3 linked regions of the Alligator mississippiensis genome follow. The protein of the gene in region 2 purifies or fractionates together with the protein of the main gene of each other region. This does not show direct contact. Links are inferred from orthologs where the notes say so. Each region holds a gene or a part of one and is shown on either strand. Other genes may lie near its edges. The genes, in order: ATP5PO, PTPN5 and mitogen-activated protein kinase 1.

Region 1 (7,672 bases), on a different chromosome or scaffold from region 2:
TCTAAATAAGGGTGACCTTCTCACATACAACAGCACAAAACAATTGAGTTGATGAAATGCCTGAAGTCAGCTGAGTTACTCTGGGGTAAATGAGATCAGAATGTGGCCCTGAACCAGCAATGGCACTCACACAGCAAGTAGGCAAAAGATCCAAGAGCTCCATTTTCAAAACACCCTCTGAATGCTATTGTAGTTCTTGCAAGAGAGACAAATTACTAGGAATTTATGTGCACAACTCTTAGAGTATTTTTTTAGTTCTTTCATATTTAGCCAAAAGAGGGGGAACAGAATCTTTATTTTACCAGGCTTAACATGAGATAAGATTCCCCTTTGTTTGCATGTGGGTTCTTCAACTTTACTATAAAAACACGCAACTCAATTCTATCCTAACTTCCCCTAACAGCTATATTTATGCTACTAAAACAAGCCAGGCAAATCCCTGAAATTCATTTCACACTATATTGAACAAATGGACTGTGAAATAGCTGTCTTCAGTTGTTGACATATGTTAATATGTAATGACATAAGGTGCAGGGATTTGCCTGGCTTGTTTTAGCACCCTAAAACTAGACAAAGATCTTCCCTCAACTTCCATGGTTAATAAATAAAGCCCTACTACTAGTATTTGTTTCCCTCTTGTGGTAACAAACAAGCTATAGTGCCACTATATAATGAGAATCTGCTCTGTGTCATATCTAAGGCCACAATTCTGCAAACTGCTCCATGAGGGCAGATCATAGTACCTTAGGAAACAGGATCCATGCAAGTACTGAGAAAGAACCAGCCACACAGAGCAGTTTGCAGGACTTTTACGTTAGCATGACCCAGCACATTTAAACTTTAAAGATAAAAAGTCCTTTCCCCTTTCTTTACTTTTCATTCCATCCAGGAAGAGCACATACCAACCGCTGAAACTTCCTTAGCCTGACGAAGGGTTTTTGAACCCGAAAGCTTGCTTAATAATTATTTTCCAAGTATTTGGGTTGGTCTAATAAAAGATATCAGATTCACCGAAGGAACCTTGTGTGCCTATGTCCTTAGACCAACACGGCTACAACCTACACCCCTGTTCCCCTTTGGAGTGCATTTTTCTCTTGTGAAAAGGCCTCGGTTACTAACAGTGTAGCACAGCAAGCTTACCTTGCCAATATGTCTCATCCCTGACCTGAAATAACCACTTCAGCAGCTCAAGGGACAGTTCACTTTCTGTGTACATTTAATCGATGACCTCTATGCTGAGCCTGCCAACTTCAAGGGTATTTATGCCAGACACCTGTCTGCTAGAAAGAGAGACCCATACCATTAATTAGCTGCACATTACCACTCAGGCCTCCAAGAGGAGCTTTTGAAAAATAGGTTTATCACCTTCTTTCTAGCTGCAACCTTAGTGATTTCAAAGAGCCCAACTTGACTCCTTTTTCTGCCCCCATGTTAAAACTCAGCTCATTTCTATGGAATTATACCTTGTGTAGCAGAAAGCCCCCTTTTCCTCTTGCCTGCTTTTGCTCTCCCCTCTTTGGATATGTTTCTCTTTTTCTACCTTTTCTTCCTTCCTCTCTCTTTCACTTTAAGATAAGGAATTGTATTTTAAAATTTGTATGTGTGCATTTTGTATCTCCCCTTGTAGTTTGGTATTTTTATCTATTTGTGTGCCATGGCACTTGTAGCTTATATTTTATACTCCTCACCTTTCAACTTTCAACTAAATGTGTTTTAGTAAGTTATACATTGTAACATTGTTAACAAAGGCAGGAATCAAACTGTCCTTCCCTGTATCAGGCTGGCCTCTGAAAGAGTGAGTGAATCAGTGATTGAATGTGTAACATGGAAGCAGGCAGCAATTATCACCTGGAAGCTGAACTCAATAGAAGACAGTGTAACAACCGGGAAATCTCTATACCTCACTGATCAAGGGCTAGAAGCCCTGGCCTGACTTAATCAACACCAGAGACCAACTTTTGGGCTGAATATCTCCAGATCGACCACTCCCAGATCCCTATTCTAAATTCATCAATGGACTCCCAAACCTGCACATACATGCGGACGCCTGGGGCTGACAGATGCTGTTCAGTAATCACCGAGGGGGGGAAGTCCCACGAGGGTCAATGACCCCTGGATTGGGCAAACCAGAAAACTGGGGAGTCACCAAAGTCTGCCAAGGACAGATAAAAGGCAGTGAAAAGTGACCCTCAGCGGTGCCCTCTTGATCTCCAACTCGACCAGACCTGTCCAGCCAGAAGGACCAGCCAGCGACCCCCTTCTGGAAGATAACACCACACTGAAAGAAGCCTCAACGACAGACTCCAGCGCTTGTAGGATAGGTATACCTGACTCTGTAGCCTGCTACTGCGTGCGTGCGTGCGTGCGTGCGTGGACCAGCCCCAAGGTTTATGATTACAGTGTTTCAATCCACCTAATAAACTAGAATTTTAAGGATCCCGAGTTGGATATTTGTAACTGTTCAACACTTGTTTACAACAGCATATGTGAAAAGAGAACAACAATAATACCCAATATTTATACAGCATGGCACTTTTCACCACCAGATGTTAAAGCTCTTAACAAAGGAGGTCTGAATCATTAGCCCCATTTTACAAATGCAGAACCTGGGGCACAAAGAGACAAAGGGACAACTTGTTTAAGGAAATGCAGTAGGCTTCTAGCAGCTGGGAGAAGAACTCAGGTGTTCTGAGTCTCCATGTGGTGTCCCTTAGAATCAGATCTCCAATGTCCACCTTCAAACTAGCAAAGTTTAACTCCCAGTACAAATTACCTCCCAGCTCCCCTAATAGCCATGTTCATTAAAATACAAGACAGTTGTTCTAATTAGAATTTTTGCACAACTCAAATAGCCAAACATTTGTATGAAAATAACTAAATTTGTATAACATCACACCTATGGATAATTCCTCGCACTTATTATTGCATATAAAAACACATCTATACAAACAAAAAAATATTTCATCCCCGTTTCCCCTTAAATTACTGTTTCCCCTTAAATTACTCTAAAGGACTTTAATATGTTAACTTAAAAGAATCAAAACTGTTATGGGTATTTTGCTAATAAAGTTAGAAATCCCTAACTGTATGTTGTTATTTTCTTTTGCAACAAACTGGTACAATAACATGAATTCGAATTTTACAAGCGCTCTAGTAATATTATTCCTGTAATATAGTAACTGCATTTACTACATTAATTTAGAAGAGGAAACCCCAAATCCTCCCCTGCAAAACAACATTTAGGTATGAGTGCACACTTCCAGCAAACCAACCTTGGGAAAATTTGCAGAAGACTATTCTGGTATCACAGTTTGAAAATTAATCAGCTGCAGAAGTTAAAATTGTTGTTCCTGGATTCCCCTGTTAATTTTCAGGGTTTTATAACTCTATTTTCCTGGTTTAAAAAAACATTCTTTCTCCTGCTGATAAATGAAAAACAGACTAAGGGAAAATATGAAAGACCCTAACAACTAGCTCTAAGGGAGTGGACAATTATACCTGTCAATGAGGGGCACATATTTACCCCACACTATTCTTGAGGGACACTCCAGATTCCCTTCCTGCCCCATCTGCTGGTCTGCTTCCTACTCCCTGTTCCATGCTCAATCTCCTGCTTTCTGCCCTGTGCTGTGCTCCCTACCTGATCTCCTGCTCTTCATGCTCCTGCCCTACCTGCTGCACTTCAATTGAGCCCAACGCTTGCCAGATCTTATAAGAAGCGCACCTAGCTAGCTACTGGGTTTTTGGTTATAGCCATCATTGATCTAAGGACATAGACAGGCAACGTTCTTTGAGTAGATGGGATATCTTTTATTAGACCAACTGAGCCTAGCTAGCCAAGCATTTCAGGGCAACAGTCATGCGAGTTTAGCTACACAGGCCATGAGTTCAGGACAACTGATTTCCTAGTCCATTAGCAGATCTCTCATAGCATCATTTTTTCAAGAACAACGGCCCTCACCCACCGCCTTTCCAAACCAAAGTAACTCTTTGTTAGGAAGCTCTTGGTCTAAAGACCCGGTCACATCTTCCAACTCAAGCTGAAAACCAGCTAGAGAGCTCTCACAGCTCTTAACTTTGTAACTAGCTGGTTGGCTCTTTCTTATAGTAGAACAGACATTTTTATGGTGGCCTGTCTACATGCATTGCTTGATTCGCCAATTAACTGTGTGATTGTCCCTTTGCACCTGCCGCCTGTCTACATTTATTGTGCGATTCACAGTGAAATGGCACAAGGTACGTAACGAGTGGCAGGACCCTGACTCCTTACAAAGTAACTGAAACAACAGCCTTATGTTGACGTTGGTGGCCTCGAACCTAGCGCCCCGCCTTCCCCCTCAGCAGGGGGCCGCGTAGTGCTCGCGTGGGGACATACCCTGGCCCTGAGGGACGTCGCTATCCCACCCCCTAGCATCGCACGGCCGCTCCTGCCCGGACAACGACCCAGACGCTGAAGCAACAGCGGCCCCTGGCGGTCCCGAGCAGTCCAGCAGCCAGGCTGACTTGCGTGCGGCAGTTTCCGGCCCGCCAGGGCGAAGAGCCTGCGCAGAGAACTACAAGCCGCGACCCTGAGGACTCGCCTCCCCAGCCTGCCCCGCGGCGCGCCTGTATCAACTGCGCATGCGTCCCGGGCACCGGCCACAGGAGGCTTCGCTGTGACCTCCGGCAGCAGCAGAAGATGGCGGCTGCCGCCAGGCTCTCTCACAAGGTGACAGGCACCCCACCTTCCCTGCTGGGCCTGTCTCTTCAGTCCGGCCCGGCTCCTCCTCGGCTGGCCCTGGGCAACCCCGTGCTTCTAACCTGTCTGACTGCTTTTCCCTTCCCCCCTCAGGTCCGCTTCTTCAGCACCGGCCTCGTCCGCCCCGCCACCCATCTCGTCAAGGTAAGCCGTTGGGGTTGGGAGGGTGAAGGAAGTGCTGTGGGGGCGCCCCGGGGAGGGGGACCCCCACGGGCCGGCGGTGCTGCGCATGCGCGGGGCCACCCCTGCGGGGGAGGGGACCCCCACGGCTTCGCAGTGCTGCGTATGTTGGTGGCCCCTGCCCTAGCCCTTAAGGGGCGCCATCGGGCTTGGGCCCTTGGCGGGGGGCAGACCAGCCTTGCCTGTGGCTGCTCCCTTGGGTGCAGGGAGATGGGAGCAGCTGGGCCCTATGGGAGCCTGCCAGTGGGTTGGCAACCTCTGGCGGGGGTGATGCAGGCAGAGCTGTACCCTGTCTTGTTTTCTCAGCTTCACTGGTTCCCTCCTCCAACACTTTCCGCCACTGCCGTGGCAGTGGTGTGATTTGAACTAAAACATGTTTCATGCACTTAAGTTCAAAGCCCACTGCCACCACTTTCTTAGTGTAGATGAATGTGACAAATGGGTGCTCTTAATAAGCATGGGTCGCTAATTAAAAGAACCTAGCACCACATTGGAAGCATGTGTAAAAATGTCCTGGGTGTTGGCTACAGCCAAGGCTGAGGACTGGCTGGGGTCTTCCAATGCTCCTGCTGGAAGCAAAGCCAGAGGTTCCCAGCTAGGGGGGTTTGCCCCTCTGCTCAGGGACAAACTGATCACCAGGTTTGGGGTAAGGAAGGAATTTTACCCCGTGGTCAGCTTGGTACGGACTGAGGGGTACGGGTCAGGGGTTGCTTTCCTCTAGCAGGACACAGTCTCTGCCCAGGACCTCCTGAAAATATTGCCAACATTTCATAGAAGCAGGATGCTGGCTGCCATGGCTCCTTTGCTTTACCTGCGGCAGGTTAGGGTGTTAGATCTGTGTTGTGTCAGGGTTGACAACAGTATACGTAGAGTGTAGATGAAGGATGGTGCAGGAAAGTTTGGCTAGGGTTGGGGGGTTGGACTAAATGACCTCTGGAGCCCCTTGTCCAGCCTGGCTTTTTTAGGATGCTGAAAAGTCCTACCCTACTCCCCTCCCCTATGGCTCTAACTAGATGCTAGCTCAACAGCTCTCAACTGGGGGTGCAGCACTTACTTCAGAGGGTTATTGGAAGGGGACACGGAGGGTAGAAAGATGGAGAACCACTGAGCTCAACTGTGAGGCATGGCATGTTTCCTAGAGTGCACTGGAGTGGGATGACAATCAAGGTGCCCTTTGACCACTTCAGACCAGGTTGTTTTCACCAGCCCCTCTAATTGCAGGTCCCCAGAAAAACATGCTGATTGCAGATTACCTTTGTTCTGCTAGTGCTTGGTTCTTAGTTTTCTGCCTCCAGCCAGCTAAATGCAGAGGTGTCTCAGCTGCCCTAAGATTTCCCACTCAGTGTGACACAGACATGAGGAAGCCATAGTATGTGCACTGAGAAACGGGTCCTGTCTGGGAGTAGGACAGGCTTCCAGCGGCTCGTGGCCTCTGCCCCACTGCAGACCAATCCTGAAGGACATGGAAAGACCTTGCTGTGGGGCTGTTCTGAAATTTCCAACATCAATGCTGATAAACACGTTATTTATAACCGTAAAAGTACAATATGGACTTAAACTTACTGCTTTTTATTTCATACTGGGGAGGCACCACAAGTTGGTTTTCCAAAAATTATAATTAATGTTCTGTTAGATCTTATGTGAATTTCCTGTTTGAATCTTAGGGCTGGAGCTGCATTTTCAGAGATTACTTCTAGTCAGAACGATTGTACCCCCTGATGCAGGAGGTACATAGTCCCACTAGGGGGAATGCCTTGCTAGACCTGGTATTGGCAACGGGGGATGACATGGTAGGGGACCTACAGATCGATGGTCACCTGTGGGACAGTGATCACCAAATAATAGAATTCATCATAAGATGTCAAGTGGGTAAGGTAACTAGTAGGGTGGAAGTGCTAGACTTTAGGAAAGCTGATTTCAATTAACTCAGGCGATTAGTCAAGGACGCACTGCAGAGTAGGAGTTTTGAAGGGATGGGAGCCCAGGAAGGGTGGCTGTGCCTTAAGGAAATGATCCTTCGGGCACAGAGGGAGACGATCCCAATGCGAGGAAAAAGAGGGAAAGGGGCCAGAAAGCTTCCCTGGCTGACCAGAGAAATCCAGAGCAGCCTACGGGCTAAAAGGGGAACATATAAAAAGTGGAAACAGGGAGAGATTACCAAAGAGGAGTATACCTCCTCTGCTCGCGCTTGTAGGGAGGCAGTTAGATGGGCCAAAGCTACCATGGAGCTGAGGGTGGCATCCCAAGTTAAGGATAACAAGAAATTGTTTTTCAGCTATATAGAGAGTAAAAGGAAGGCCCAGGGAGGAATAGGACCCCTACTAAATGGGCAGAAGCAATTGGTGACGAACAGGGGGGACAAGGCTGAACTCCTCGATGAGTTCTTTGCCTCTGTGTTCCTAAGTGAGGGGCAAGACGAGTCTCTCACTGGGATGGTAGAGAGGCGGCAGCAGGGTGCCAGACTACCGTGCGTAGACCCTGAGATGGTGCAGAGGCACTTGGAGGAACTGGACGCGTTCAAGTCAGCAGGCTCGGATGAGCTCCATCCGAAGGTACTAAAGGCACTGGCTGACGTCGTTGCGCAGCCACTGGTGGGAATATTTGAACACTCATGGCACACGGGCCAGGTCCCGGAGGACTGGAAAAGGGCCAATGTGGTCCCCATCTTCAAGAAGGGGAGGAAGGAGGACCCAGGCAACTATAGGCCAGTCAGTCTCACCTCCACCTTGGCAAAGTCTTTGAAAAAATTATCAA
Region 2 (8,049 bases):
CTTCTGTTGTACCAGCAGGCTTGTCTTGACTGTGAAAGAAAAAGCTGAGTATTTTATGTCAAGCTCAACCCAAGCCCCTGTTCCTCTGACAGAATATTGACTGAAAGAAGCAGGTTCTTGGGACCTTACATCCTCCACAGCAAGTGGGCAATAGCTGGGGCAGTTCTCGATCAGCTCCTCCTCAACTGATTGCTCCAACTATTAGAGTGTTAAAGGGACCTGAAGACCTAGATCCAACTCCCTGCTTCACCACAAACTCCCTCTATGCTCTTAAGGAAGTCAATTAAGCAGTAAGCAGGGTGTGACTGGGCCACCATCCCCAGTCACCACCCTTAGAGGGATGCAAAAATAGCATCAGCCACCACTACTCTCTGAGCTGCTGCACCACTGCCAGCAGCCCAGCTGCAGTCACCGCTTCATGTAGTGCCACCACCAAGAGTACAGAACTGCCCACTTACACCTCTGCCTTTAAGTCTCTGTGGGCACGTCTACACATTCATTAATGTGCTTTAGACACTACGCATTTAAAGTACTAACTAAATGCACAGTACCTAGAGTTACTCCACAGTAGCACCAGCACACGGTTATTTAGTGATGCTTACTGTGCATTAGCTTAATAAAACTGTGCAGTAGGCTATTAACATGGTTTTTGCTGTGACATGCTACTGCGCAGTGTTATTAAGCTAATGCACAGTAAGTGCCTCGTGTAGATGCGCCCACTACCTCTATTCCCTTTCAGCAGACTATGAATAATACTACCCTGCCCCCAAGGAATGTTGTGAGGATAAATACTATTTTAAAAAAGTGATTTCTCAGATATTACAGTAATGTCAGGCATGTACTGTAAATATCTTGGACTAGTCAGTGCATAATGGTCCTCCACAATCCTCTGACCTGCTTCTCGCCATTCACAGAATGTCTTTATGATTGAAACTGAGAAGGGAACTGTGTAGAGCGGCTTACTGAACCTCTGCCCCAGTGATTCCCACAGAAGGAAATCTACCTGTGAGCTGGCATAAAGGGACCAGGTTGTGGCCCCCAGCTTGGCCCAGTATTTCTTTGTACACTGTCTCCCCTTTAGAACAGTGGTCTCCAAACTTTTTAACTAGGAGCTCACCTGTGGCATTTAAAAGCAACCCAAGATCTACTGTGCACCACCACCACCACCCCGTTCCCTCTCCCCGCCCCCCCCAACCCAGCAGGTAAGTCCGGGGGGGGGGGGGGGGGCAGATTAAGGCAGAGGGAGAAAAAATTATTTGGGGGTGCGCCTCCCCAGCAGGTAAAGGAAGGCACCAGGGCCTCACTCAACTTATCCCTGCTCCTGCCTCTGTGGCCCTGTCCCTCACCGTGGGAGTCCTTGCCTCCCCCATGGACTGACCTGCTGGGCTGCGGTGCACTGTGTGCATGCACACGGGCACTCGGTCCCCCACCCCAGCCTTGGATCGATTCCAAGAGGCTCCGAGATCTACCGCAAGAGGCTCTGAGATCTACCAGTAGATCAAGATCCATTGGTTGGTGACCATTACTTTAAAAGGACCCCCTCACCTTAGGGGGATTCAAAGTTTTCATGTCACGTTAAATATGGAACAATATAGGAGTTCCTCTAGGAGGAACAGTTTGCAAAGACCTCAATATTCTAATCAGGAAGCAATTAGGGTTGTACATTAAACATTTCTATCATCTGTCCCTCTCAAGAATGGTATTAGAGTTGGGACATTACTGGGATAGTCCACTAGTAACCTTTGAGTCCAGTTTTATTCCTACATGAAACCCTGACTCACCCTGCATAGATACTGATTAGCAATTCACTCTTCTTTGGGAAAATCATTAGGATTATACTCGTTGCCAAAATCCTCCGTCACAGTCATTCACTGACTCAGAACAAGGTTTACAACAGCTGGCAGTGATATGTACTGTTGGTGAGTCATGTTGAACTGTTAGCATGAACATAAGAACCTGTGAAAAGCCAGACAAATGCCAGATGACTTACACTGCCCCATCTGTGTTAAGGAGATGCATTTGTTATATTACAGTAAACGGCTTGGTCAATGTTTTATTACGTGCTCTGATTTTCAGGAATGCAAAACTTAAAATAATAATAATAATTAATAAAAAATTACTAAAGCGTGTTGTATCATATGGATCCTGAAAAGCTTTATAAACTAAGGGTCAGAATTCTACCTAGTGCAAATAATCTGGCAAATATTAGTGGAAGGACACTGATTTACATCTGCTGAGAATCCGGCTCTACGGGACTATGGGGAGAAATCCACTTACCTACTATCGATTGGAGCTACCTCTGGGGTGCAATATGTAAGCTATCCAACAACACAAAACAACATTAAACAGGAGTTTAGAAAAGAAAAATGCCATAATCAGTTTAACCTGTAGGATACATTTAGATAAATGACGCTACTATTCTTTTTTTTTCACTGAAGGATTTCAAATCAATATTCTTAATAAATAAAAACACTAACACAAGTGCTTTACAAATATTAAATAAACCTCCTGAGCCAGAATCTCAGTTGGTGTCAATTTGCATAGCTCCATTAACTATATTGGTCCTCACCAGCTGAAGATACAGCCCCCACAACATCCGTGTAAGTGAGGTAAGTATAAGTGATTCACAGATTCATAGGTTGTAAGGCTGGAAGGGACCTCGGAAGATCATCAGGTCCAGCCCCCTGCACTAAGCAGGAAAGACAACTGGGGGCTGGACATGACAAAATGCCACATCATATCCCAAAAGGAATCAAAACTTGTGGAAGAGGTGATACCTTTTATAAGACCAACTAGATATTTGCAAACAAATTATTTTTTTTATTTGCAAGCTTTTGGGCGCACACACCCTTCTTCAGGCATAGGAGAGAACAGAGTTTGTAAAAATTCTCCTAGTTGGAAATGAAAATTCATATTTCACAGGAGAGCTGAAGATGTAGTCAAATTTCCTGTTGGGAATTGTTCATTTTGTCCGGGTTTTTTTGCAAAAATCTAGTTGGCCTAATAAAAGATATCACCTCTACGATGAATTCAGATTCTTTTTGTCCAAGTTAGGCACAGAGAAAGGTTGAAAAAGTCTTTTTACCTCAAAGTTGTCTGGTGGCCAGCAGGATGTAGAAGCATATTTCTTTCTGGCTTTGATGTTTCATATTTCACAGAAGAGTGGAAAGGTGGAAAGCTCTTCTGGAAGCTCTGAATATTAAACTGTGTGAGTAAAATGTGTCTTTAAGAAGGTATGGCATATCCTTTATGCTGAACAAAATGGCTCACCCAGGAGCACAGAGCAAATAAAGGGTAAAAGTGGGGAAGCACCCAGCTTTGAAGATCCTTGATCTAGCCCTGGACAAAAGTTCCAGACCATGTGTTATGTCCCAGGTCCTCAACTGAAATAAAATAGTTTGGCTCTGTTGGCTTCAATGGAACTAAACAGATTTACACCAGCTGAGGAGCTGGCCCTTTTTTGTCTAGTGTAATGTCTTAGACTTGGATCCTGCAGTAGGTACCACACTGGTGGGCAGATGAAGCTGGTGCAGAGCCATCAATGTGGCTCATGACATAGCAATCTGTCTGAGAGCTCTCACTTGCACAATGGGAGCCTTAATGTGTGTTTGTCTCTGCAATGTGTGGGTGGATGGGTGTGTGTGAAGGGGGTGAGAGAGGCACCTGTCAGACTGTGATCTTTGTGTGTGTGCCGCACCAGTGTCACTTCTGTCTCCTACTCCCCAATATGTCACTCTCTCCCCCTTCACCTGTGTAGGTAACTGTGCTGACAGAAAGCAGGGCTCGGGGGCTGTCGTCTCTGCCTCTCTGGATGCATTTGCTCTAATGGATGCGCCCGCCTGTGTGCAACACTCCTGCGTTGTGTCTGCATGTTACGTGCCTACTTGTCTCCCGTGTGTGTGTGTGTGTGTGTGTGTGTGTGTGTGTGTGTGTGTGTGTGTGTGTGTGTGTGTAGGCAGGACACACCACTGCGGCAGTGCAGGCTGTTGCTGCTGAAGGGAGGAGGATGGTGGGGGGGGAGAGGGAGGGAGCTCCAGATGCTCTTGCTCCCTCAGGGACTGGAGTCTTTTTTCTCGCCTTGGCCCTCCTCTGCTCCTGGCAGCCTGAATATTTCATTCATGCTTTCTCCTTTGCCATGGCTCCCTCTCTCTCTCTCCGATTCAGGGAAAACAGGGGAGGGATGGGGGGGGAGAGAGAGAGAGAGAGAGAGAGAGAAAGTGTGTGTGTGTGTGTTGTGTGTGTGTGTGGGAGGCCTTTGAAAGCCTGCCTGTCAATCAAGCATGAAAGGGAGAAAAAGAGAGAGAGAGAGATGGAGAGAGAGAGAACAGCTTTTACAGGGAGAAGGTGGGCGGCTGTTGCTGCTGCCCGCCTTGCAGCCCTTCCCAGGGGCATCTCTACAGACAGGGGGAGTCAGCCTGGCACGGTCAACCTTTCCTAGGCGGGTCAAGCCCCCCCTGCACCTTCAGCAATGCCAAGTGCGGAGAGGGGGAGTCCCCATACCCATTCCTATGCCTTGCTAGTCCCCCGGCTGAGCTGCCTGTGTCCTGTGGGGGGGAGGCAGGGAGCCTTGCAGGGCGCAAGGGGGGCTCAGCGGGCTGGAGGCAGGGGGGCTCCTTTGTTGTTCAGTGCGGCGGGGTGGAGCAGGAAGGGGGGAGGAGGAGGGGGTTGCACTGGGGGGGCACCGTAGTGGGGCCCTTTCAAGCGTGCAAGGAGGCTGGGAGGGGTTTGGGGCTGGAGCTCCTTGCAGGCTGCAGTGGGGCAGGGGGCTGGCAAGTCCCTCTCTGTGGGGAGGGAACTAGGGAAGTTTTGCATCGTCATGGGCTGGGGGGGGTCACTGCTCACGAGTGCAAGGGGCGGAGGCTGGGGGGGCTCCACGGCGGCGGGGCAGCGCCTCTAGGGGGTGGGGGGCGCCGCAGGGCTGGGGGCTTTGCGGGGCGGGGGACCGTGCGCGTGGCACACGGAGCGGCACACACGCACACGCGCGCCCGGCGGCTCCTGCCCGCGCCCGCCGCTCTCCTGCAGCGCGAGTGAGGCTCTGCCGGGGGCTCCCGCCGCACCTGGGCGAGCAGGTGGGGCCGGCGCCGGGGGGCGGCAGGGAGGCAGGCACGGGGGAAGGGAGACTGCGGCAGCGGAGCAGGGGGCTGAGGCGCCGCGGGGCTCGGGCGCCTGCACCGGGCGGGGGGAGGGGGGGTGTACGGGGAGGGGACAGCAGCCCTTCAGGTCCCCTCCGTGCGCGACTGCAGCCATCCCCTCTCCAGCCGCTGGTGCTGGAGGCGGGGCCGCCCCGGCTCGGCGGGGAAAGGGTGGGCGCTGGGGCTGGGGGAGCCTTTGCTGCGGCCCCGGAGGGCGCCAGCAAGCAGCCCCAGAGGTGGGTCACTGCAAGGGGGTGGGGGTCTGGACACGCACTCACTCGCACACAACTCCTCATGCATCTCTCTGCAAAGATGCCCGCGACCCCCCTTCCCCGTCCTCTCTGTTGCCCTCTCCCCGCAGCGCTGGACCCGGCGAGGTGCAGAGGTTTGGGGACATGGGGGGAGGGAGATGTGTTACATTCACATTAGCAAGCCCGGGGGGGTAAATGCCCCGCCCCGGCCCGGCCCGGCCCGCCCCGCGGGAGTTGGTCAGGCGGTCCCGTGGGGGGCACAGAGGGCCCTAGGGTTTATTTTGGGGTGCCCCCGTTGCAGACACCGCGGCCCGGCTCGGCTGTGCCGGCCCTGGGCGCCAGTTGGCTCCCTGCTAGATGGCGGCGCTGGCGGGAGGGCGGCGCGGCGCGGCGCGGCGCTGCGCGGTGAGGGGCGCTCGGCTCGGCCGTGGGGAGGCGGGACAGCGGAGCGGCTTGGCGGGCAGCTCTCCAGGGGTCGCCTCGGCTGCCCTAGCCCCCCCTGGGCACGGGCTCCTGTTGCGTCTGGTCCAGGACAGGATCCGCTGCTGAACCCAGGTCTTGCTACTGTTGATCTCGGGGTGGGATTCGCTGCGAGCAGCCGAGGGTCTGGGTCGTGTGCGCTGGCGCCTGTAATCGCTGCTAGATTTCAAAATGTGGCAGCTAGACTAGCTTTTTTTGCCTGGTGACGGTTGTGCGCCCTGGGGGAAGCTTTGGTTGGTTTGGGCTGAGCGTTGAGGTCCACTGTTGCCTCAGTGGGAAGGATGAAGCTTTCAGGTTCATGCCAGGTTTTCATTGTCTTCGGCAGGAGTTGGCAGCCCCCCATGTTGCCCTGTGTAGGGTCTGAACAAAAAACCCGCCCACGGGTCTTCTCACCGTTGCTTGCCAGGAGACCACTACAGAATAGCAGAGTGCGAGGAGGTGTGTTAATACCTTGGGACTAAGCTTTGTAATTACTCACTTGTATTTGTACTTCAGGTCACTGCCATTGAAGCCGGTGGGAGTTTTACCACTGGGTGGGAGTTTTACCACTGGCTTCATTGGGAGGAAAACCTTGATCTTGCAAAGCCATGTCTGTGGGGCTGGTTTCAATAGATCTACAGCAGTGATTCTCGGCCAGGGTGCGGTGAGAGCCTTTTAAGGGTGAGTGAAGGTGCTGTGCAATAGTAACACTGTTCGGTGTGCAGGCACCTACACAAGATAAGCTCAGAGATTTCACTGGGGATCTGTACTGTCAAAAACAGACCTGTTGTGGTCTTTCTGAGTTTGTTTTGTTTTTTGGGGGGGGGTTGTAACAGATTTGCTGTATTATTTTTCCCTGGTCAAAAAAAAAACATACAAAAGCTAAGAGCTGGCATTTTCCTAGGGGTGCCTTAATGCTTAACAAGGGGTGTCTTGAGTCTAAAACAGTTGCGAACCAGTGTTTTACATATGAGTAAAGGTAAGCACTTGCTGAAGTGCATAACTTCGTTTTTCTGAAAATGAAGTGAGATTAACCTTCGGTATTGATCTTTGTTGGTTTCAGCTATTCAAGCTGAGCTTTACATTTTGGCCAGCTTTGCAAATGGGATCTAAACTTTGAAAGCAGCATCTATTGCTCCTTTTATAGGAAGAACTGCGAACTGGATGTCAAGCCTATAAAGCAAGAAAGTTTTAGGAGCCTTGGAACAGCTGCCTGTTCAACCAAAAATCAGAGAACAGAGGTATTCTTCACCTAATTAAATAATATCACTTTCTCTGCCAGAATGTCACCAGCATGCTTGGGTTCCATTTTTCTTATCTTCCCAGCAGAAAGTAGCTTAATTCATTGGGCAAAATTAAAAGAAATAAAAGCAAAGTAGTCTCTACATTTCCTCAGCCCCCTACAACACCAGAGCCAGGGCTCAGAATTTCAGGGGAGGCGTCAGTGTAGGCCCTGGAAGGAAACCATTACTTGCTATTCTGATTTATAACACCGTCTCTCAAAGGATCAAAATAAATGCATCCTCTTCAGTCTATTGATTTAAATTACATGTACAGTAAATGCAGTCCTCTGTGAAAATGTAGGCCCTAATTTACCCCCACTCTCTGACTCTTCTGCATAGGTGGGAAGGTGTGAAGCAGACATAAAGCCTCTTTTAAAAAACAAACCACCTCCTCTGGATTCCCTTCCAGTAAGGGAAGCCCTACATGGGGCAGATTTATCTCAGTGGCAGCAAAAACAGGGATAACTGGGTAAATTGCACTGGAGAAGGGAACTTGTTCAGAGGTTTTATACCCCCTGTGATTACAACAGTGCAAAGATTTTTGGTGTAAAACCAGTGAAAGCAGTTCTGGCTATTCTGTAAGCCTTCAAATTACTGGTAACACACCCCTATGGGATGAGGAGGTGGGGGTCAGGGTGTTTTCAAATGTTATGTCAAGTTACTGAAATAGTCCCTGTAGATAGATTGTAATGTTTTACCTTACAATGTTAGGTCATAAGCTATCTGAGAGTTTTATTTCACCCAGGGGAGTTAACAGACCCATTAAGTCAAACAGCATCTTGCATGGAACAGTGGATTAAAAAAGCAACAGTGTAAGGCCACGTGAATACACAGCTACATACTACGCTTGATGACCTAATCCTAGGCCCATTAATTTCACTAAAATAAGATAGAAGCTAGTCTAGTTGGATTAATGCAATCCTG
Region 3 (8,030 bases), on a different chromosome or scaffold from region 2:
TGTAACACAGCTGCGGCCAGCTCTGGGGTGGGTGCCAGGGCGTAACGGGTTTGCAGCCAGCTCTGAGGCAGGCCCGATGCTGCAGCTGAGTCAGGGGTGGCCCGGCTGAATGGAACGAGTCCCGCTTTACCGCCCCCCCTCCCCACCGAGGGAAGCCAGGCGTGTGGGGCCTCACCTTGGAATTGAGCATGATCTCAGGGGCGCGGTACCAGCGCGTGGCCACGTACTCGGTGAGGAAGCCTGTGTGGTCGTGCTCGGGGTCAGCGATCCGGGCCAGCCCAAAGTCACAGATCTGGGGGTGGGGGAGGACAGAGGGCATCACACCACAAGTACGGTGGCCTGGAGAGAACAGATATGCCCAATACAGGGGTTTGGGGGGCTCGATGGTGGCCTGGAGGGGACATTACAGCCCCAACTTTGGTCTCTGGGGTCCTATGGTGGCCTGGGGGGAACATTAGGGCCCCAGAGGTGGGTTTAATTTTTCTACAGCGGCCTGGAAGGGCCAGATATGCCCCATACAGGGGTTTGGGGTCCAATAGCTGGGTTTTATGGGCTCTATGGGGCACAGACATGGGCTTTGGCGGTCCTACGGTGGCCTGAAAGGGGCATTGGGGCCCCAGAGGTGGGTATCATGTGGCTTGGAGGGGACATATATACCCCACACGTGGGTACTGGGAGTCCTGCAGTAGCCTGGAAGGGACCCGCTAGCCCAACAGATGGGTTTCACAGGTCCGACGGTGGCCCGGAGGGGGGACAGAGGCCCGAAGGGCTCATTTTGTGGGGTATGGTGACCCAAAGGGGACACAGACCCCCAGAGGTGTGGTTGCTGGGTCCTACAGTGGCCCGCGGGGGCCACCGATGCCCAATCAGTGCCTTGTATGTGTCCTGCAGTGGCCCAGAGAGGCCACAGCACACCCAGAGATCGGCTCTGCGGGTTCCACAGAGACATCGGGTACGGTGGTCCCCTGAGGACACACAGCCCCGGACAAGTGTTTTACGGGCTACAGTGGCCCGGCAGGACCCCCCTGCCACCGCACCTTGAGATCGCACGTGGTGTTGATGAGCAGGTTGCTGGGCTTGAGGTCACGGTGAAGGACGTTGGCCGAGTGGATGTACTTGAGGCCCCGCAGGATCTGGTAGAGGAAGTAGCAGACGTGGTCATTGCTCAGCTGCTGCGTCTTGAGCAGCTTGTAGAGGTCCGTCTCCATCAGGTCCTGTACGATGTAGCTGGGTGCGGGGGTCAAGGGCCACGGTGGGGTGGGTGGCTGGGCATAACCGGGTCCCTGTAATGCAGCTGGCTCTGGGGTGGGGCTGAGGCTGAGTGTAACATCAGCCTCCACAATGCAGCTGCTCTGGGGCAGGAAGTCAAGAGCTGGGTGTAACGGGGCCCCATCATGCAACTGGCTCAGGGGTGGGACTTTGGGGACTAGCTGTAAGAGGGCCCCTATAATGCAGCTGGCTCTGGGGTGAGACACTAGGGGCTGGGTACAACAGCCCCCACTCCCCATAATGCAGCTGGTTCTGGGCTGGATATACTAGACGCCCCTGCCGCATAATGCAGCTGGCTGTGGGGTGAGAAACTGGGGCCCCCCCGCCCCCACGGTGCAGCTGGCTCTGGGGCAGGCCTGGCAATAACAGCGCACTGCCTCCCCGCTGCGGCTGGCTCTGGGGTGGGACCCCTCCCCCCCGCGACGCGGCTGGCTCTGGGGCAGCGGATACACATCGCGCATCTGGTCGAGGCTGGGGGCACGCAGGATGTCGTTGATGCCGATGATGTTCTCGTGGCGGAAGCGCAGCAGGATCTTGATCTCCCGCAGCGTGCGCTGGCAGTACGTCTGGTGCTCGAATGGGCTGATCTTCTTGATGGCCGCCCGGGTCTTCGTTACGTGGTCGTAGGCTGAGCTGGGGGGGAGAGCATGAGCGACACAGACTCAGCTACGGCTCCCGCCTGGGAGGGCACCAGAAACGTACGGGGAGATGGGGCCGCAACAACTTGGGAGGGCCTGGAGCAGAGGGCGCCATAAATGTAATGGGGGGGAGCGGAGATGGCACTGACCCGAGTACACCCCCACCCTCCCCGCCCAGGAGGGATCGGTGGCACAGGGCACCGGAAACGTAAGGGGAGACGGGCTGCGACAACCAAGGTTTGCGGCAGAGGGCTGACGGTACAACAGCAGCCTGGAGGGAACGAAGGGGCCAGGGTAACCTGGAGGAGTGCTGCACCGGGAGCAGGGGGGGGGGCAGAAATGCAGTGGCGTACGGTGGCCTGGAGGCAGCGGCAAAGGCCTTCATAAATGTAACAGAGACGATTAGAGTGGCCTGGCGAGCCATAAATGTAATGCTGAGCTGAAGGGAGCCCATTGCCCACAATGCAGTGGGGCACAGTGGCTCGCAGGGGTTAGCTCCCTAGGGGCGGAAATCTACGGTGTCCCAGAGGAATCTTTCCGGGGCCCCACTGCCCCTACGGGGACCTAGAGGGGTCACTTCCGGGGTCCCATTGCCCACACGGGGGATAGTCGGGGTCACTTCCGGGGTCCCACCGCGCGTACGGCGGCGCGGAAGAGTCAGTGCCCGCAGTCGGGCCGACTACGGTGGCCCGCAGGGGTCCGGCCGGGCCGGGGGCTCGCTACGGCGGCCGCGCAGGACCAGCTCACCACACCATGCCGTACGCGCCCTCGCCGATATACTGCAGCTCCGTGTAGCGCGGCCCCACGTCGAAGGCCTGTCCCTTCACCGACTCCACGCCCAGCTTCGGCGCCCCCGGTCCCGCCACCGGCCCAGCCCCGCCCGGGGCTGTCGCTGCCGCCGCCGCCGCCATCGCCGCTGCCGCACCCGGAACCGCCCGGACGCAGCGCGCAGGCGCCGCTGCCGCCCGGCTGCCCTGAGGCGCCTGCGCACAACGGCAGCGTGAAGCTGCAGAGCAGAACTGCTGCCCACAGTGCTCAACCCCGCATGCGCGGGAACAAGAGAGCCTGCGCAGAGCGCTGCAGTGACGCTGCGACTCTACCCTTACTGCCTTAAAGCGCATGCCCACTGGCAGGAGGGGCGGGCAGAGAGGTGCAACACCTGCGCAGAGCGACAGGAGGAAGCCTCGCCCAGCCGCTGTTGCCCTCACTGAGCTTAGTACGCATGCGTGGCGTTCCGTACCCAGAAAGGAAAAGGAGGTCGTTCGGCGCCTGCGCAAAGCGCCGGAGTGAAGCCGCGCTACCCCGCTGCCCTTAGTCGGAAGAGACCGCCCACTGGTCTTCTCGCCCGCCTGCTGCCGCCCGGCCCCTAAGCTAGACAGTGGCTCCACCCCCAGGGTCCACAAGCCCCGCCCCGGCACAACGCCCCACCCCCTTTCTTACTACCCACGCCCTCATCCGTACTGGCCCCGCCCCTCCCCCGGCGCTCCCACAGATGCGAGGCCGAGCCCAGGCGCGTTTCCCATAATTCTTTATTCCCGGGCGGTGCCGGGCGCCGCTCGCTGCTGCTCCCACTGCTCCGGCGTCAGCGTGCGCTGCTCCAGCGCGTGGATGTGGGGCAGCTCCTGCGCCAGCGCCTCGTTCACCAGCCTGCGGGGGGGCAGGGTCAGCCCGCACGCCGCGGCTCTCGGGAGGGTGGGGGGAGAAGGAGGGGGGGGCGTGTCTCACCGGTGCCGCTGCAGCAGGGGCTTCCCCCGGAACCGGCCCGACACCACGAGGACCCGGAAGGACGTGGAGCAGCGCTCGGGGGTCGTGTCCTCCACTTCCTGCGCGGGAAGCGGAGCAAAGGAGACTCAGGCGTCCACCCCCCCCAAAACAACCCGGGCGTCCCCGGCCCCGTGCCCCCCGGGAACCCAAGCACCCCCCCACGCACCACGTGCTCCGCCTCCAGCTCCCGCTGCAGCCGCTCCCGCACCGCCTCTGCGCTCAGCGCTGCCATGGCCACTTCCGCCTATGGTCCCGCCCCCACTTCCGCCTACCGCCTCGGTTCCGGCCTCTAGCTCCCGCCTTTTCCGGCCAGTGGCAGCGAAGGGCGGCCTTTCCCCGCTCTTTTCTCGCCTCTCCTGAGGGCTCGGCCAATGGGCGGGCGGAGCGACCCGTCCCGCCCCCCCCCGGGCGCCTGCGGCCAATCAGGGAGCGGGGGAGGAGGAAGGAGGGCGGGGATTGGCCAGGACGCACGCGCCGGCGGCGGGAGCGGGGTTCGTGCCGGTTGGGGATGGCGCAAGGGGTGATGGGAGTGTGGGCAAGGAAGCGGGGCATGATGGGCGATAGGGCCGCTGAAGGGGGAGCAGGGCATGGTGGGCTGCATGGCTGGAGCAAGGGGTGATGGGAAGTTGGTGTCTGAGGGGATGATGGGAGCAGAGGATGCTGGGACATGAGTCGGTGAGAGCAGCGCAGGGCATGGTGGGAGCTAGAGAAGCAAGGGATGCTGGGAAATTGGCACAGGAAGGGCAGCGGGGCGTGATGAGACGCGTGGGAGTGGGGGTGGCAGGAAACAGGCCCCCAAGGGGCCGCCCCTGACCCCGCCCCCATCTGCCTGGCAGGCGGTGCCATGGCACCAGCCCCAGGGCGGGGCTTCCGCGGCGTGTACCTGCTGCTGTGCACGCGCCCGGAGGGGCGGGGCCGCGTCTACGTGGGCTTCACGGTGGAGCCGCGGCGCCGGGAGCGGCAGCACAACCGGGGGCGGCGCTATGGCGGCGCGCGCCGCACCAGTGGGCGCGGGCCATGGTGAGCCACCGTGGGGGGCGGGGCTACTGCCCAGCATGCCTTGTTTTCAGGAAATCACGCTCCTGGCATGCTTTGCTGCTAGGGACCTGGTTCCCAGCATGCCTTGCTTTATGGGCCTGCCCTCCAAGCAGGCTTTGCTCTACATGGGTTAGACTCCCAGCAGGCTTTGCTTTAGGAGGGCCAGGCCTCTAGTATGCTTTGCTGGGAGGGACCAAGCTTCCAGCATGCTTTGCTGTAAGAGGACCAGGCTCACACCATGCTTTTCTGCAAGGGACCTGGTTCCCAGAATGCTTTGCTGAAAGTGGCTTAGACCTTTTGCTTGAGGGAGGACTAAGCTCCCAGCATGCTTTGCTTTATGGGCCTAGCCTCCCACCTGGCAGGTAAAGCTCTCAGCATGCTTTGCTGCAAGGGATCAGACTCCCAACATGCCTTGCTTTATGTGCCTGGCTTCCCAGCATGCTTTGCAGCACAACCACCAGACTCCCAGCCTGCTTTGCTGTGAGGCACTGGTGTCCCAACATACTTATACTTGTCTGTAGCAGCACCAGTTTCCCAGCATGCTTTACTCTGGGGGTCTGGCTCCCAACATGCTTTGCAGCAGCAATTCCCAGTATGCGTTGCTCCCCCCCCACAGGGAGATGGTGCTGATCGTCCATGGCTTCCCCTCCAATGTGGCTGCCCTCCGGGTGAGTGCCCCGCCCCCTGGAGGGCACTGGGGCCTAGTGGATGGGAGCAACAAGGCCTAAGGGGTTCAGGAGCCCAGAGGCCTGGGGTCCTTGGGAGTGGGCGGGGGTGAGAGCAGGGAGCCTGGGCACTCTGGGAGGGGGGCGGGGCTGGACCTAGGGATTTAGGAGCCTGGACACCTGGTCCTCACCCCGGTTTCCCCTCTCTCTCCGCAGTTCGAGTGGGCATGGCAGCACCCTGGGGCGTCGCGGCGCCTGCCCCCCGGCCCCGCCCGCCGCCCCGGCGCCCCCCTCGCTGCCGCCCTGGGGGTCCTGGCCCAACTTCTCCGCGTCCCCCCCTGGGACCGCCTGCCCCTGGCCCTGCGCTGGCTCCGCCCTGGCCGCCTCCCGGCCCCGCTCCCTGACCTGGCCCCGCCCCCCCACGTGCCCATCACCTATGGGCCCTTCCCTGACCAGCCCCGCCTGGCCCACCAAGCCCTGCCCCCTCCGGCCGTGCCAGGGGTCACCTGCCAGCTCTGCGAGGGGCACTTCCAGGTAAGCCGGCCACCCGGGGTCTCCCTCCCACCGAGGAGGGGCGGAGCCCGGACACCAGGGGTCATGGAGGGGCGGGGCTAGGAGCTTGGCTGCCTGGGTGCTCCCTCTGCTTCCCCCCCACCCACAGGGCGAGGTGGATGCCCCCCTCCGCTGCATCCAATCAGGCTGCCCCCTGGCGGCCCACCCACCCTGCCTGGCGCGCTACTTCCTGCAAGACGAGCCGCATCAGTTCCTGCCGGTGGAGGGCCGCTGCCCCTGGTAGGTGGAGGGGAAGGGTGGGGGGCGGGCTCTTGTTTCCACACCGACTACTGACCCCCACGTTCCCCCGATAGCTGCAAGACGGTCGTCCTCTGGGGTGACTTGATTCGCTCCCACCTGGGTTACCGCGACAACCCTGAGGACGACCTCTGCTCCTCCCAGGTAAGCCCTGACCCCCCCCCCCATCTCCAAGCCCCACCCCTCGCCGCGGGCCATGCCCTCTGACCCCTCTGCCCCTTCCCCAATGCAGGGTCACTGGACAGAAGAGTTGCAGGCTGAAAAGGCGGGGCCTCAGGTGGAGTGGGTGGAGCCAGCTGCCAAAGCCTCCTGAGTGGGCCTCATGAATGGCTGGCGGGTTTCCAGAGACCTGGCCCTCCTGGCCCCACCCCCATAAGCACCCAGTGGTCACCAGGGACAGGAGGGGGCGGCGACACGGAAACTCCTCCCCCTCCCAACCACCAATCAAACGAAGCTTCCCTTTTTCAACCCTCTACCTTGAACACAGATCTTGCCCCCTCCAGAACCAATCAGGTGCCAGATCTGGGTTGCGCGTCACCAGCCAGCCCCACCTGCCCACCCCACCAATCAGGGGCCTTCCCTGATCCAGGAAGCCCTGCCTTCCCCTCCTCTTGACAGGGAACTGAGACTTAATTAATAACTTTCCCTCGTCAGTGTGCTACAGGGAATTAAATATGCAAATGTAGGTTGTTGCATTTGCATATTTAACTCCCTGTAAGCCGTTGATGAGGAAAGCTTATTAATTACAGGTCACTAATCACTTCTCATCTTCGCTTTCAGCCTATTGGTCTATGCTTCATTTCCCCTCCCCCAATGCTGTAGCTTGTCCTTAAGGGAAACTACAGGCAATCCAGGTTACTAATTAAGCCCAGGTTAATTAATTAAAGATCGTTCATCAACTGTCAGCTCTGCCTTCATCCTCTCTTATTGGTCTATGCTTCATTTCTCCTCCCCCAAGGATGTAGCTTGTCGTTAAGGGAAACTACAGGCAATCCAGAGGTTACTAATTAAGCACAGGTTAATTAATTGGGATGAATCCCAGGTCATTTAGGTTAATTGATTAGGGATATATAACAAGCCAGCCATTAAGTCTCAGTGTTTCATTTCCCCTCATTCAATTATGTAGCTGGTGGGTAAGGGAAACTACAGGGAATGAAGAGGTTAACTGATTAGGCACAGGTTAATTAACTAGGGGTTTCACAAACGATTAATTATCAAGCAGTTAATTGCCTCAGGTCCCCCTCCCCCTCCCTCCATATGGCCCATCCAGAAGGGAAACTGAGGCACAATCCATGAACCTCCCCCCTGCTAATCACTGACTAATTAGCAATTAATTAGGGAGAGGGTCTTAATTACCCCCCAGTCAGTCCCTCCTGCCCCCTGTATTGGCCCCTGGGGCTTCTCCCTGGAGTAGTTCTGGGATAAGGGAAGCTAAAGGCCATCAATTGGTTAATTAGTGATTAATCAGTGACTAAATACATTAAATGAATTAGGAACAGGCTGTTAATCATCTCCCAAGATCCCCGCCCCCCTCCCCATATTGACCCCCAGGGCTTTCTGCTCCCTGCAGCTCATTCATAAGGGAAGCTAAAGGCCATTGGTTATTAAAATAGGTGATTCATTAGTAATTAAATACATTAATTAGAATCAGGGTGTTAAGTATCTCCCAACTCCCCTTTCAGCCCCCACCCATATTGACCCCCCAGGGCTTTTGGAACCAAAATGCCATGGATTGGTAATTAATTAACCATGGGCGCTAGCTTAATTAGTAATTCAAGACATGCAATGAAGACCTGGCTGCTAATGAGTTCAGACCTGCACCCTATAGCCAGGTTCTTGCCCCCCC

What was found.
Region 1: the proteins of PTPN5 (region 2) and ATP5PO purify together in Homo sapiens (affinity purification with mass spectrometry; 3 studies listed by BioGRID and IntAct, with this or other methods). This does not show direct contact. The link is inferred for Alligator mississippiensis from reciprocal best matches to the Homo sapiens genes PTPN5 and ATP5PO.
Region 3: the proteins of PTPN5 (region 2) and mitogen-activated protein kinase 1 purify together in Homo sapiens (affinity purification with mass spectrometry; 4 studies listed by BioGRID and IntAct, with this or other methods). This does not show direct contact. The link is inferred for Alligator mississippiensis from reciprocal best matches to the Homo sapiens genes PTPN5 and MAPK3.

Annotation. Positions count from the first base shown.
Region 1 is NC_081824.1:292,565,338-292,573,009, reverse strand, and holds the start of ATP5PO (ATP synthase subunit O, mitochondrial), read left to right. Parts: upstream 1-4,611; 5' UTR 4,612-4,678; coding exon 4,679-4,708; intron 4,709-4,831; coding exon 4,832-4,882; intron 4,883-7,672. UniProt on the Homo sapiens protein: Subunit OSCP, of the mitochondrial membrane ATP synthase complex (F(1)F(0) ATP synthase or Complex V) that produces ATP from ADP in the presence of a proton gradient across the membrane which is generated by electron transport complexes of the respiratory chain.
Region 2 is NC_081825.1:190,624,669-190,632,717, forward strand, and holds the start of PTPN5 (tyrosine-protein phosphatase non-receptor type 5), read left to right. Parts: upstream 1-4,963; 5' UTR 4,964-5,069; intron 5,070-5,326; exon of another isoform or gene 5,327-5,368; intron 5,369-5,792; exon of another isoform or gene 5,793-5,938; intron 5,939-6,188; exon of another isoform or gene 6,189-6,301; intron 6,302-6,905; exon of another isoform or gene 6,906-7,083; intron 7,084-8,049. UniProt on the Homo sapiens protein: May regulate the activity of several effector molecules involved in synaptic plasticity and neuronal cell survival, including MAPKs, Src family kinases and NMDA receptors.
Region 3 is NC_081830.1:836,361-844,390, reverse strand, and holds the start of mitogen-activated protein kinase 1, read right to left. Parts: upstream 3,044-8,030; 5' UTR 3,029-3,043; coding exon 2,655-3,028; intron 2,477-2,654; exon of another isoform or gene 2,362-2,476; coding exon of another isoform or gene 2,261-2,361; intron 1,903-2,260; coding exon 1,720-1,902; intron 1,228-1,719; coding exon 1,038-1,227; intron 293-1,037; coding exon 176-292; intron 1-175. Other genes in the region: bolA-like protein 2, read right to left, coding at 3,437-3,554, 3,633-3,730, 3,838-3,903; structure-specific endonuclease subunit SLX1, read left to right, coding at 4,516-4,691, 5,326-5,377, 5,591-5,908, 6,036-6,166, 6,241-6,328, 6,417-6,497.